Linked DNA regions of Oryctolagus cuniculus. The protein of the gene in region 3 interacts with the protein of the main gene of each other region in a pairwise test. Links are inferred from orthologs where the notes say so. Each region holds a gene or a part of one and is shown on either strand. Other genes may lie near its edges.

The links.
Region 1: the proteins of THAP1 (region 3) and CHLSN interact in binary tests that used the Homo sapiens proteins (3 or more experiments, as listed by UniProt). The two-hybrid records come from large-scale screens. The link is inferred for Oryctolagus cuniculus from reciprocal best matches to the Homo sapiens genes THAP1 and CHLSN.
Region 2: the proteins of THAP1 (region 3) and ACOT7 interact in binary tests that used the Homo sapiens proteins (3 or more experiments, as listed by UniProt). The two-hybrid records come from large-scale screens. The link is inferred for Oryctolagus cuniculus from reciprocal best matches to the Homo sapiens genes THAP1 and ACOT7.

The regions. Positions count from the first base shown.
Region 1 is NC_091450.1:36,496,315-36,500,804, forward strand, and holds the start of CHLSN (protein cholesin), read right to left. Parts: upstream 3,002-4,490; 5' UTR 2,798-3,001; intron 1-2,797. UniProt on the Homo sapiens protein: Hormone secreted from the intestine in response to cholesterol, where it acts to inhibit cholesterol synthesis in the liver and VLDL secretion,leading to a reduction in circulating cholesterol levels. Acts through binding to its receptor, GPR146.
Region 2 is NC_091438.1:161,105,754-161,110,293, reverse strand, and holds the start of ACOT7 (cytosolic acyl coenzyme A thioester hydrolase), read right to left. Parts: upstream 3,002-4,540; 5' UTR 2,680-3,001; coding exon 2,510-2,679; intron 1-2,509. UniProt on the Homo sapiens protein: Catalyzes the hydrolysis of acyl-CoAs into free fatty acids and coenzyme A (CoASH), regulating their respective intracellular levels.
Region 3 is NC_091433.1:92,914,995-92,917,526, forward strand, and holds the end of THAP1 (THAP domain-containing protein 1), read right to left. Parts: intron 2,232-2,532; coding exon 1,857-2,231; 3' UTR 641-1,856; downstream 1-640. UniProt on the Homo sapiens protein: DNA-binding transcription regulator that regulates endothelial cell proliferation and G1/S cell-cycle progression.

The DNA of each region.
Region 1 (4,490 bases), on a different chromosome or scaffold from region 3:
CGGAGCTCTCTGCTACTCTTTCCGGTAAATAAAAATATTCCAGTAAAATAAAAACCCCTGCGACCACGCGCACACAGGACACTCCGCGTGGCGTCAGGGTCCCACGTTGCACCTGCTGGGGTCGCTCTCAGGACTGCCCCCCCCCCGGGAACCAGGGGCGCCCCTGCACCTGCTCCCAACTCTTCCCAGGGTGGCGTCTGCAGTCCCCGTCCACGGGCTCGCTGACCCCACGTCCACCTCTGCCCCTTCTCACCGGGACGGAGTTGTGACACAGCGGGCTCACCGGGACGCGGGCATCTGGAACCAGGCATTGCAGTTCAGACACCAGCACTCACACACAGCACACAGCCCGCACCTGCCCCTCAGGTGGGGGAGGTGGGAGTCCCGCGACCACCGGGACCACCGGGGCCTGCTGCTGGGGACACGGCCTGGTGCCCCAAATCCACCAAACAATAAAGCACCGCTGAGGGTCTCCAGCCGGGCGCAGGGAAGCCAGAGTGGACAGACCACCCGGCAGTCTGGCCTGGCCAGTGGGCGGGGCCTGAGTCGCCCTCCCCGCCCCGCCGCCCAGAGAGGGCAGGAGGCTGAGCCCCGGCCAGCGCAGACCTAGGCGTGAGATGCTGAGCCACCCCCCGTCCACCCTGCCCCGGCCAGGCAGCAGCGTCCACTGACCACCCAGCACACTGTGGCCGCGCACTGGGGGCCGCCTCTCAGCCACATTTTCCTTAGTCTTCCTCCCATTTCTACCCACGTGACCTGAATCACCTGGACACAACACCAAGGCCACAGTCACCAGTGAACAAGTACCATGAACATGCTCCCCCCCGGCTCCCACGGTCCTGTGCCCGGTGAACGGGCTCCCGCCCGGCTCCCACAGTCCTGTGCCCAGTGAATACACTCCCGCCCGGCTCCCACGGTCCTCTGCCCGGTGAACACGCTCCCGCCCGGCTCCCACGGTCCTGTGCCCGGGGAACCCGCTCCCGCCCGGCTGCCACGGTCCTGTGCCCAGTGAATACACTCCCGCCCGGCTCCCACAGTCCTGTGCCCAGTGAATACACTCCCGCCCGGCTCCCACGGTCCTGTGCCCGGTGAACGGGCTCCCGCCCGGCTCCCACGGTCCTGTGCCCGGTGAACGGGCTCCCGCCCGGCTCCCACAGTCCTGTGCCCAGTGAATACACTCCCGCCCGGCTCCCACGGTCCTCTGCCCGGTGAACACGCTCCCGCCCGGCTCCCACGGTCCTGTGCCCGGTGAACGGGCTCCCGCCCGGCTCCCACAGTCCTGTGCCCAGTGAATACACTCTCGCCCGGCTCCCACGGTCCTGTGCCCGGGGAACCCGCTCCCGCCCGGCTCCCACGGTCCTGTGCCCGGGGAACCTGCTCCCGCCCGGCTCCCACGGTCCTGTGCCCGGTGAACGGGCTCCCGCCCAGCTCCCACGGTCCTCTGCCCGGTGAACACGCTCCCGCCCGGCTCCCACGGTCCTCTGCCCGGTGAACACGCTCCCGTCCGGCTCCCACGGTCCTCTGCCCGGTGAACACGCTCCCGCCCGGCTCCCACGGTCCTGTGCCCAGTGAATACACTCCCGCCAGGCTCCCACGGTCCTGTGCCCCGTGAACGGGCTCCCGCCCGGCTCCCACGGTCCTCTGCCCGGGGAACCTGCTCCCGCCCGGCTCCCACGGTCCTGTACCCAGTGAACACGCTCCCGCCCGGCTCCCACGGTCCTGTGCCCCGTGAACGGGCTCCCGCCCGGCTCCCACGGTCCTGTGCCCGGGGAACCTGCTCCCGCCCGGCTCCCACGGTCCTGTGCCCCGTGAACGGGCTCCCGCCCGGCTCCCACGGTCCTGTGCCCGGGGAACCTGCTCCCGCCCAGCTCCCACGGTCCTGTGCCCAGTGAATACACTCCCGCCCGGCTCCCACGGTCCTGTGCCCCGTGAACGGGCTCCCGCCCGGCTCCCACGGTCCCGTGCCCATGAGGACACAGTCCTATTTCCTCCCACTGTGGCAGGTCCAGAGAACCAGGCGTCGCGGTGACGTCACAACGACCGACACCCCCCCCCCCCCCAGCCCGAGACGGTGCAGTGAGCGAACCCGGAGCCGGATTCCAAATTCTACTTGATTTTCATGAAGTTAAATGGCTGGGGGCCGGCACTGCGGTGCCATGCGGGCACAGGTTGGGGTCCCGGCTGCTCCACCTCTGACCCAGCCCCCTGCCAGCGCGCCTAGGAAAGTAGCAGAAGACGGCCCGAGAGCCTGGGCCCCCGCACCCACGGGGCAGAGCCTGAAGAAGCTCCCGCTCCTGGCTGTGACCTGGCCCGGCCTCGGCTGGGGAGTGACCCCGCAGACGGAAGGCCTCTGACTCTCCCTCCCTCGCCAGGGTTGGGGTTGGGGTTCGGGTTGCGACTTCCATATCAATCGTTTTCTAAAAAGTTAAGTGACCACGGGAGGCCGTGTGCCGCCCACCCGGGACAGGTTACCTTGCGGCGCGGCCCCCCACCCCAGCGCAGCTGCCGGCTTCGGACACCACTGCGGCGCACGGCGCGGCGCACGCGGCCTCCGCCCGCACGCGGCTCCCGGCTGGACCCTCACCCACCAGGAGCGCGGGCGCTCAAACAACCGCCCAGGGCCTGCGGTCACTCCGCGGGGTCACTGCCGTGATGCTGGCGCCCTGTCCGCCCGGCCGGTGCCCGCAGCGAGGACAGCCAGCAGCCGCGAGCCCGTGCATGGCTGCGGCTCGGCTGGGGGTGGGTTTACGACCCCTGCACTCCTGCAACATCGCCGGCCAGGGGCCCAGCCCCGTACCTGGCCCTCGTCCGGGAGCCGAGAAGCTGCGGCGGCCGGCAGGAGGCGGGCGCCCCTCTCGCGGTCAGTCCCCGGGATCGAGGCCCCCAGAACGGCGACACCGGGAGCAGCACGGCGCCCGAGCCCCGGCATCACGACTCCCCCAGCGCCCCGCCACTTCGCCGCCGCGGAGACCCGTCACAGCCCGGCCGTCCCGGTGGCGCCCCTGCGACGTCACCTCCGGCCGGCCAATCCCGGCGCGCCGCGGCCCGGCGCTCCGATGACGTCACTGTCCGCCGGCCAATCCCGGCACCCCGCCCCCTCCCGAACAGTCTCGCAGCTTCTCGCGAGCGGCAGCGGCGTCGAGCGCGGCCGAGGCCGGTTCTGTGGAGAGGCGCCTGGGGGCTGGGGGCGGGGTTGGGGCCCCCGGGCCGCCCCCTGCCCAGGGTTGTCCCGCGGTGGAGCCGGAGCCTTCCGTTTTGTTAAACAAGTTAATGTAGTCTCGAAGTAATTCCAAACTTAGAGACCCCCCCCCCCATGCAACATGTCGCCCGCGCCTGCCGTCCGTGCGCCCCCGCCCCGTGGCCCGGCCCCCGCCCCCTGAAGTCCCGGCCGGCGCTGGGCTCCAGAAGGTTCCAGAGGCGCCGCCGGGCTGCCCGGCTGGGGGGGGGGGGTGCGTGGGTGCTGCAGACCTGGCGTGGGCGTCCACAGCGGGCCACTCAGGCCCCGCCCGACCTGTGCTTTTGGATTTATTTGACTTAGCGGAAATGGCGGGGCTGGAGAACCAGACACAGAAAGGTCTCTATCCGCTGCCACGGCTAAGCCGGAGCTGCTTCCAGGTGCCCCGAGCGGGGGCCCAAGCGCGTGGGCCAACGTCCTTTCCTGCAGGGACAGAGCGAGGAAGGGAGACGGGGAGGGGGGTCCTCTGCCCGCTGGTCACTCCCCACGGGGCTGCAGTGGCCGGGCTGAGGCCAGGAGCTTCACCCGGGCCTCCCACACGGCTGGGCCATCTTCCCCCGGGGGAGCCGGATCCGAGTGGAGCAGCCGGGGCTCGGCCTGGCGCCGTCCTCGCTGTGGGCTCTGCGCGCAGGCTCCCGGGCTGTGGGCGCATCGCAGCGGGCAGACTCCCTGCACGGGCAGGAAGTGTGCGATCGGGGCGCACGGGCTCGTCTGCCTGCTCAGGACGCCCAGGCAGCAGGTGCCGCCCCCGGGAGCTCCCCGCCCGCGCCCGGGCCACTCGGACGCTGCCCCGGTCCTCTCGGGACCGGACAGGCCCGGCGCGGAAGCGGGGCCGCGTTCTGGGTGCGCCGCGTCTGGGGGCTGCCTTGTCCTCGCGACCCGGAGCCGCCCTGCCGAGCTCCTTCTCGTGTGTGGGCGGCCAGCGTGCTGCGGACAACGTGCCAGGAGCGCGTCGTCACCCTGTGCCGGCCTCCTCCGTGGGGGTGCCCGCGTCACCGCTGCGGCTTGCAGAGGCCAGGCCCTTCCCCGGGTCAGTGAGAGCCCTCAGCCTTCCTCGCCGGGAATCCCCGCCTGTCCCCGGAGCGGGGGTCCCCGTGGTGGAGCGTGGGGTTTAGAATCCAAGACGTGGGTGTGGGCTGTGCTTCTGGGCCCTCGGTGGACACAGGCGTGTGTCAGCATGTTGACATCCGCGTGACCCACCTATCACTATGTCGGATTTGTATGTATTTAAAATCCCTAACCCCAACTTCGCTTT
Region 2 (4,540 bases), on a different chromosome or scaffold from region 3:
CAGCAAGTAGCTGGACTGGAAGCAGTATGGCTGGGACTCGAACCAGGCATTCCAACGTGGGACGTGGGCAGCACACACAGCAGCTGAACTGCTGTGCCAGGCACCTGCCCCAAGGTCTGACATCCTACGACTTGACCTTCAAGAAAGGAAAAAAGTCATTCACTAATTAAACATCGCTACTCCAAATAAGTCAGAGGGCGAGACGTTAAGTGCTGCACCAGACACTGCATCTCTTCGGGTTGGAACAAAGGAAGGAGGGACAACGTCGCACAGTGGTCTGGCTGCCCAAAGTGCCGGCTCTCAAAGGGGAACTGCTCCCTTTGTGAGCGCTACGCCAGACTGGGCCAAAGGTGCTCACCCTCACCGTGACTCATTTACAGATGAGGTCCCACCGCTGGCGGCAGAGCTGGGGCTTGAACATGGGTGTCGCCCGCAGTGCGAGCCATCCGCCAGACCCCAGCTAGACGTTCTGTTAGTGAGCGCTCACAACCACCCGTGAGCAAATGGGAGCACAGAGCGGTCACGCGGCGAGCGAGGGACAGAGGCGTTGCCAGTAACCGCTGCCCTCGCCTGCCTTTAAGGCCTCTGATCCTGGAGCATCCTGCCTGCAGCACGGCGTCGCCCTGACCGTCTAGAATGACAGGGGCGTGGGCATCCTCGCCCTGCTGAACCGTGACCCCCTCAGGGCAGGGTCTCAGGGTTCCCCGGGGTCAGCTTTCCCTCCCAGCGCTTTGCTCCTTGGCAGTGTCCCGTGGAGTCTTGTTAAATTCATGGGCCTGGTAGGATGTGTCGGGCCAGGAGGCTCCGCTTTCAATGCAGGGCATCAGCTCGGGTATCCTTAAAGGCTCCCCACTCCAGCGCGTCCACTCTTCAGTGTCCTGGGGCTTCTGTGGGTCAAGCCCACCTGACCACAGCCCTCTGCCCAGCACCCTCTCCCGGGGCAGGCGTGCCCTGCGCCCGAGGACCACTTCAGCCGGGCACCCTGCTCACAAGACCTCACGGCCAAGCACCCACTTCAGAGACGGTGCAGCTGTGAACCAGACACGCGAGGCGGCCCGGCAGGTGCAGCGCCCGAGAGAGTGCACATGCAGGCTTACGGGAGCATCTAAAGCCTTACAAGAATCTGTTTTCCTGTTAGTTGGAAAAAGACAATATATATATACACCCAGGCTACTCCCCACCCTGAAGAAGTAAACACGCCCAGCCTTCCGCAGGCAAACAAACTCTTCATTTGGGAGAACGGTGGGACGAACACTGCGTGGCCCTCCCAGAACTACTCAGCCCCCGGGATCCTCAACCGCTGGCTCCACACAGCGCCAGCACGGAGGTCCCGACCCTGCAGCCTTGCAGGGAACCCAACGAGATGGAGATGAGCTCAGGCTCCTTGCAAACAAGGCAGCCCGGTTCCGGGATCTGGCTGCGGGCCTGTCTGTCTGCCAACATCAGTCACTTTCATTATCTTTATCCCTGCCTCCCCCCACCACCACCACCTGAGAGGACAGCACACAGCCAGGGGCACAGGGCTCCCCCATGCACGCTTCCCCTCGCTAGGAAAGCCAAGATTGACCTTAAGACCAACAAAGGGGTCTCGGCCAAGCCAGAGAACGGGGAGCTGGGGGCAGGAGCTCCAGGCTCCCAGAGAACCAGCTCCTTCGGGAAAGTAACTGGCCCAGGGTGGACACGGCTGGGACCCCAGGTCAGCGCGATGCCCAGCGTGGGGAACCCGGCTTGGTCCCCCCAGCAGGACAGAGCTGGCCTCGCCCTTGTCCGCCCGCACTGATGCCTCTGCGCCCGGCGGCCTGCCGGTCACCTTGAGGCTGCCCTCCCGTCCTCCTGCCTGGAGACCAGCAAGCTCCCACCCCCCGCGGCCGCTGGGGCCCGCATCTCTATCCCGACACGCGGGTGTGGTGGGGGTCGCCGAGACGACTCTGCCTCCTATTGTGTGAGATGCTTCGGGCCCGCGCAGCTCCCTTTCCTTAGCGGTAAGCCGCTCCAGGCCAAGAGCCCTGATCGGTTCTGGGCCTCCACACCTGCCCTCTCCGAACCCGCCGCGGGGGGCTGTGGGGCCGGCGGGCGCAGCCCCCTCCCTAAACCCACGGCGAGCGGCCTCCGGGGGGCTCCGGCGCCGGTCCTCCACCCTCGCTTCCGCACTACAGCCCAGGGGGCGATCCCGAAGCTCCGGGGGCCCAGAGGGCATCCCGGGCCGGGGTCTGAGATGTCGGGTGCACCGACCCCCTCGCCGGTCCTGGCCCCGGCCCTCTTCCTCCCCCCAAACGGCCGGTGCTGGCGGCAGCGCGGCCGCCGCCCTTGAGATGCGCCGAGAGGTGGTGGGAGGAGCCCCCCGGGCCGCGTCTACCTCAGCATCGCCGGCGCATCCCCGCCGCCGGCGGCCCGGGCCCCGAGACGAGGGCGCGGGGACTCGAGGGGCGATCCCCCGGCGCCGGGGCGGGGATGCCGGCGGCCTCGGTGGGCGGGGGTCGCAGACCCCACGGGTGGGCCCCTCTCTTACCGGCATATCTGAATGGCGGACGGCGTGTCGGCGGCGGGGCCCGACATGCTGGCGGCGGCGGCGGCGGCGGCTGCAGGCGGCGGGAGGAGCGCGCAGGTGTCTGGAAGGCCCGGCGCGGAATGAATGAGCCCGGGCGGCGCCATGGAGGGGGAGGGCGGAGGCGGAGCCATGGCGCCGGCAAGGCGGGGCCTGCGCGCGGGGGGCGAATCGAACGCGGCCTCCCCGTGCGGGCCCCGCCCCCGCTCGGGCCCCGCCCCTTTCCCCGCCCCCCTGGCCGCCACGGCCGCGGTGGGCCCGCGTCGGCGTCCGGTTCTGTCGGCGGAGGGGGCTGCCCCGGGGCGCGGCTTCCAGAAGGTTCGACGGCAGTTGGGCGGGGTCGGCCCGCGGGCGGCGGCGGCGGCTGACGGCCCTGCAGCCTGCGAGCGCCCGGCGGGCGCGGCCCGAGTCGCGCAGCTCGGCGGACGCGTCGCTCGCCTCCGCGGCGGGCAGAGTCGGCGGGGCGTTCCCTGCGGGTCGCGCCGGCGATTCGCTGTCTGCGCCCCGTGCTCCGCGGGCCGGATGAGGTCAACGCGGAAGGCCCGGCCCGGCGTTCGGGCCTGGAGCCGCCCGCCGGGCGCTGCCGCCCTGCACGGCGGCGCGCTCTCGAGTGGGCCGTGAGAGGCCGAGTGCCGGCCCCGGGGGTGGTGGCCGCTGTGGGGAACACGACATGGGCCAGCGCGGGCGGATAGGCCGTGCCCGCGCCGCCCCGCCGCTGTCCAGGCGTCCGGCTCCGGGGCCCACGGCCGCAGGGAGTGGGGGCCGCCCGGATGCACGCGGTGTCCCCGAAGTGAGTCCAGAACGAGTCTGGGGTCACAGAATCCACCCAAAAAACCCCCCGGGAAGGGTGGTCAGCTCCACCTGCGGGGGTCCGGAGAGCTTTTTTGTTTGTTTTATAAGATACATTTTTATTCACGTGAAAGAGTTAGAGGCACAGAAACCTCCCCTGCGCTGGTTCACTCGCCAAGTGGCCGCAGGGGCTGGGCCAGGCCAAAGCCAGGGGCCTGGAGCGCCACCCGAGTCTCCCACGAGCGCGGCATCTGCTGCTTTCTCAAGCACGTTAGCAGGGAGCCGGATCGGAAGTGGAGCAGCCGGGACTCGAACCCGTGCCAGCACCACAGGCTGTGGCTTAACCAGCTGCGCCACAGCGCTGGCCCAGTACACGTAGTTTTCCCACATGAAATAAGTTTACCCAAGCATGAAGAGCCACGAAGCCTAGTTAAACACCACATCTTCCCAACGTGGACCCTGAAATGCAAGGGAAGAGGGGACCCACTTTGGGGGTTCAGGAAGGAAGTTTCGAGATCCCCGAGGGGAGGCGATGGCTAAGCGCAGCCCTCCTGACCTCTGCTGGAGTTTATGAGGTTATGACTGTAAGGAGGTAGCAGGTTAATAACTCTTCCTCCTCCTGGTTCTCTTCCCCACCCGTCATTCTGTTTCTTTAATCCTTCCCAGGTGGATGCAATAGAACAAGGAATTGTCCAGGCCCTGCCCTGTTTGCATAGGTGTGCTCGTCCAGCTGGACATCAGAAGTGCTTCCTGGGGCCGGCACTAGGGTGTAGCGGGTAAAGCCGCTGCCTGCAGTGCCGGCATCCCACATGGGCGCCGGTTCGATTCCTGGCTGCTCCACTTCCGATCCAGCTCCATGCTCTGGCCTGGGGGAGCAGTAGAAGATGGACCCCTGCACCCGCGTGGGAGACCTGGAGGAAGCTCCTGACTCCTGGCTTCAGATCGGCACAGCTCCGGCTGTTGTGGCCATCTGGGGAGTGAGCCAGCAGATGGAAGACACCTCTCTCTCTCTCTCTCTCTCTCTCTCTCTCTCTCTTTCAATCTTTCTCTCTGCCTCTGCCTCTCTATAACTCTGTGCCTTTCAAAAAATAAATAAATCTTTAAAAAAAAAGAAAAAGAAGTGTTTCCTATTTCAAACCTCCCAAATTGAATCCAAAAACAGTCCAGGCCACTCCACCAGCGAGAAGGCGGTCCTAGGCGAGGGGT
Region 3 (2,532 bases):
AGGACCTATTTTAGCCTAAATGTTCTACTTTCCTTGGCAATGTTACAAACAATAAAATACATCAAATGAATTTTAAAACACTCAACAAATGTTACATCTCGAATCACAAAAAAGCGCCTGCACCTCAAATTCCTTATGCTAAATTATGATAAATTATTTAAACGGAAGCAGTTGGTGTGCATGCTGCTTGTTCAGTTCTCTCCAAGTGAAAAATTAAGTCTGTTATGAAAAGAAAGCAGTTCCAGATTAAATAATAAGTCTAAGATGCTAATTATGATTAATACTTTTATATCCTAATCTGGATTCTCAGTTCTGGGGACACACACACACACACACACAATCTTTCATGTAGAAAGACAAAAATTTAGGTTGAAGACAAATACTTGGCAAAGTATCTACCCATGTATCTTCCAGAAATTGCTAGAGAGATGAACAGCTACGAGTTCCATAAATAACCAGTGAACATGCATTCAACTGAGTTAGTTCTAAATGTTGCTAGTAGACTATGTGACTTCACGTAATCTTCTTATCATTATTTCCTATTTTGAGACACTGGTTCCTAAAATATCAGGAATCAAAGTACTATCCATGGCAGTGTGGCAGTGAATTACAATGAAAACGAGGTCTACAAAAGACACAAAATGGTTCCACATTTTAATACTGTCTTGAAAGGTCTGTTACTCTTCAACTACCTCAGTGCATTTATAAAAGTGACAGAGTTGGAATAGTTATTCTAAATCTAAGTAGGTTACTTCTATTAGCAGTATTTGTTTACTCAGAACATATTTCCATTTCAAATATATGTAAAATTTCTCACAAAGTCAGAACACAACTCACAGTCTGAACAGAAACCTCAGTGTTTAAATCTCAACATTCAGCAAATAAACATCATACATGAGGCTGCTTCTGAATACAAATCACTCATTCAGATAAACGGGGTACAATTTCTAACTTGTTAGAAGAAATGATTTTTTTGGTGAAGTTTTGGCTAAAATCAATGTTACTGAAAAATTAATATAAACAAACCAAACTCTAGTACCACATTTGTTAAAGCTTTGGACACAGATATCACCTCAGGAGGGAGCTGGCTGTCCTTTACCTAGGGGTCATTACAGAAACAAGCGTCGTGGTCAGGCCCTAGCTTTTACTACTCACTGACAACAAAGCCTCATTTTGTTTACTGAAGGATTTTTCCTTCACTGAAGACACACTTCTAGCTTAACAGTGGGGAAAAAAGACAGGCCTACTTTAAAAAAATCTGTTCTTCATAAAGTTACTTATTAAGTAGATGTTCATTTTCTGCTGCAAAGACACTCAAGTCTTTTCAAGTACTGACTTGCTGATTTGACAACTGACTCAGAATGGTAAATGAAACCTCCTGACTTCACCTGTAAGAATCTGTGAGTATAGGTATGTATATACTTATATATCTTTTGACGTTATGCCCGTGATCTGATCCTTCTTGATTTAAAATATAACTAAATTTCTCAATAAACAGCATGAATTTTAACTTTTAAACTTAAAACTTACTGCACTGTTCTCATTTTTTTTACTTTTACATTATTTCTATAAATATTCTAGAAAACAAAAATCCCCAATATTGAAACCAACTTACATTGGCAGTTTGAGGCTAGTTTATAACTTCAAAGATATTTTGTTAAAATGTAAAAACCCTGAAATTACAAACAAAAACCTTACAATTTTACAGTATATATCTAATTTATTTTTTTAAAAAAATATTCTGAATTGCTTTTATACAAATAATCAAGTGTTATTTTTTTCAAAGGAAACTCCTTTACAGGCTAAAAGAGGGTGTGTGGTGTTGCCCCATTAAAAACTCAACGCATGTCTCTTGCTCATGCCGGCACTTCCACTATCTCAAAGCAGTCACTTGGCAGAATCACGTAGCCTCTCTCCGACGAGTCGTCTCTCTCCTTCTGGAAGTGCACGACCTCCCTCAGCTTTTCAAGCTGCCGCTCTTGTCTTCTGCATCGCTGCTGTGCCGTCTTGAGCTTCTTCCTGAGTTTCTCGACCTGCTGTTCCAGTTGCTGAATCCTTTTCCTCTGGTGCATCGTGTCCTCCACGGTGTAGTTGTGGTCACAGAAAACCGAGAGGTTGTCAGGGGTCTGCAGAGGAGGCATCAGCAACCCAATAGCAGCATCCATCTGGGAGATGGGCGGTGTTAAAGGAGCTGGAGGCAGCTGCTCCTGTGAGCCCAGCACATCTTCCTTCTAGAACAATGAAGAACAGCATGTCTGAACTTAGTAAATGACAGTGCAAAACAACTCATCTGTGGAAGTTAGGAAATAAGACGTTTTTGTGATTCTGTGGCACAGAAACATCCAAGTAGTTTCCTTCTGAAATAAACTTTCCAACTTAAGGAGAAATGGTAAGCAAGAAAGAGAGAAAATGGTGACACATTTAAATACCAAGCACTTAAAACTAACGAGAAAAAATACTCTGAAACCAAAATGTCACAGATAAAGAAAAATCAAAACTTATCAACAGGTGCCAGGGCTATGGTGCAGTAGG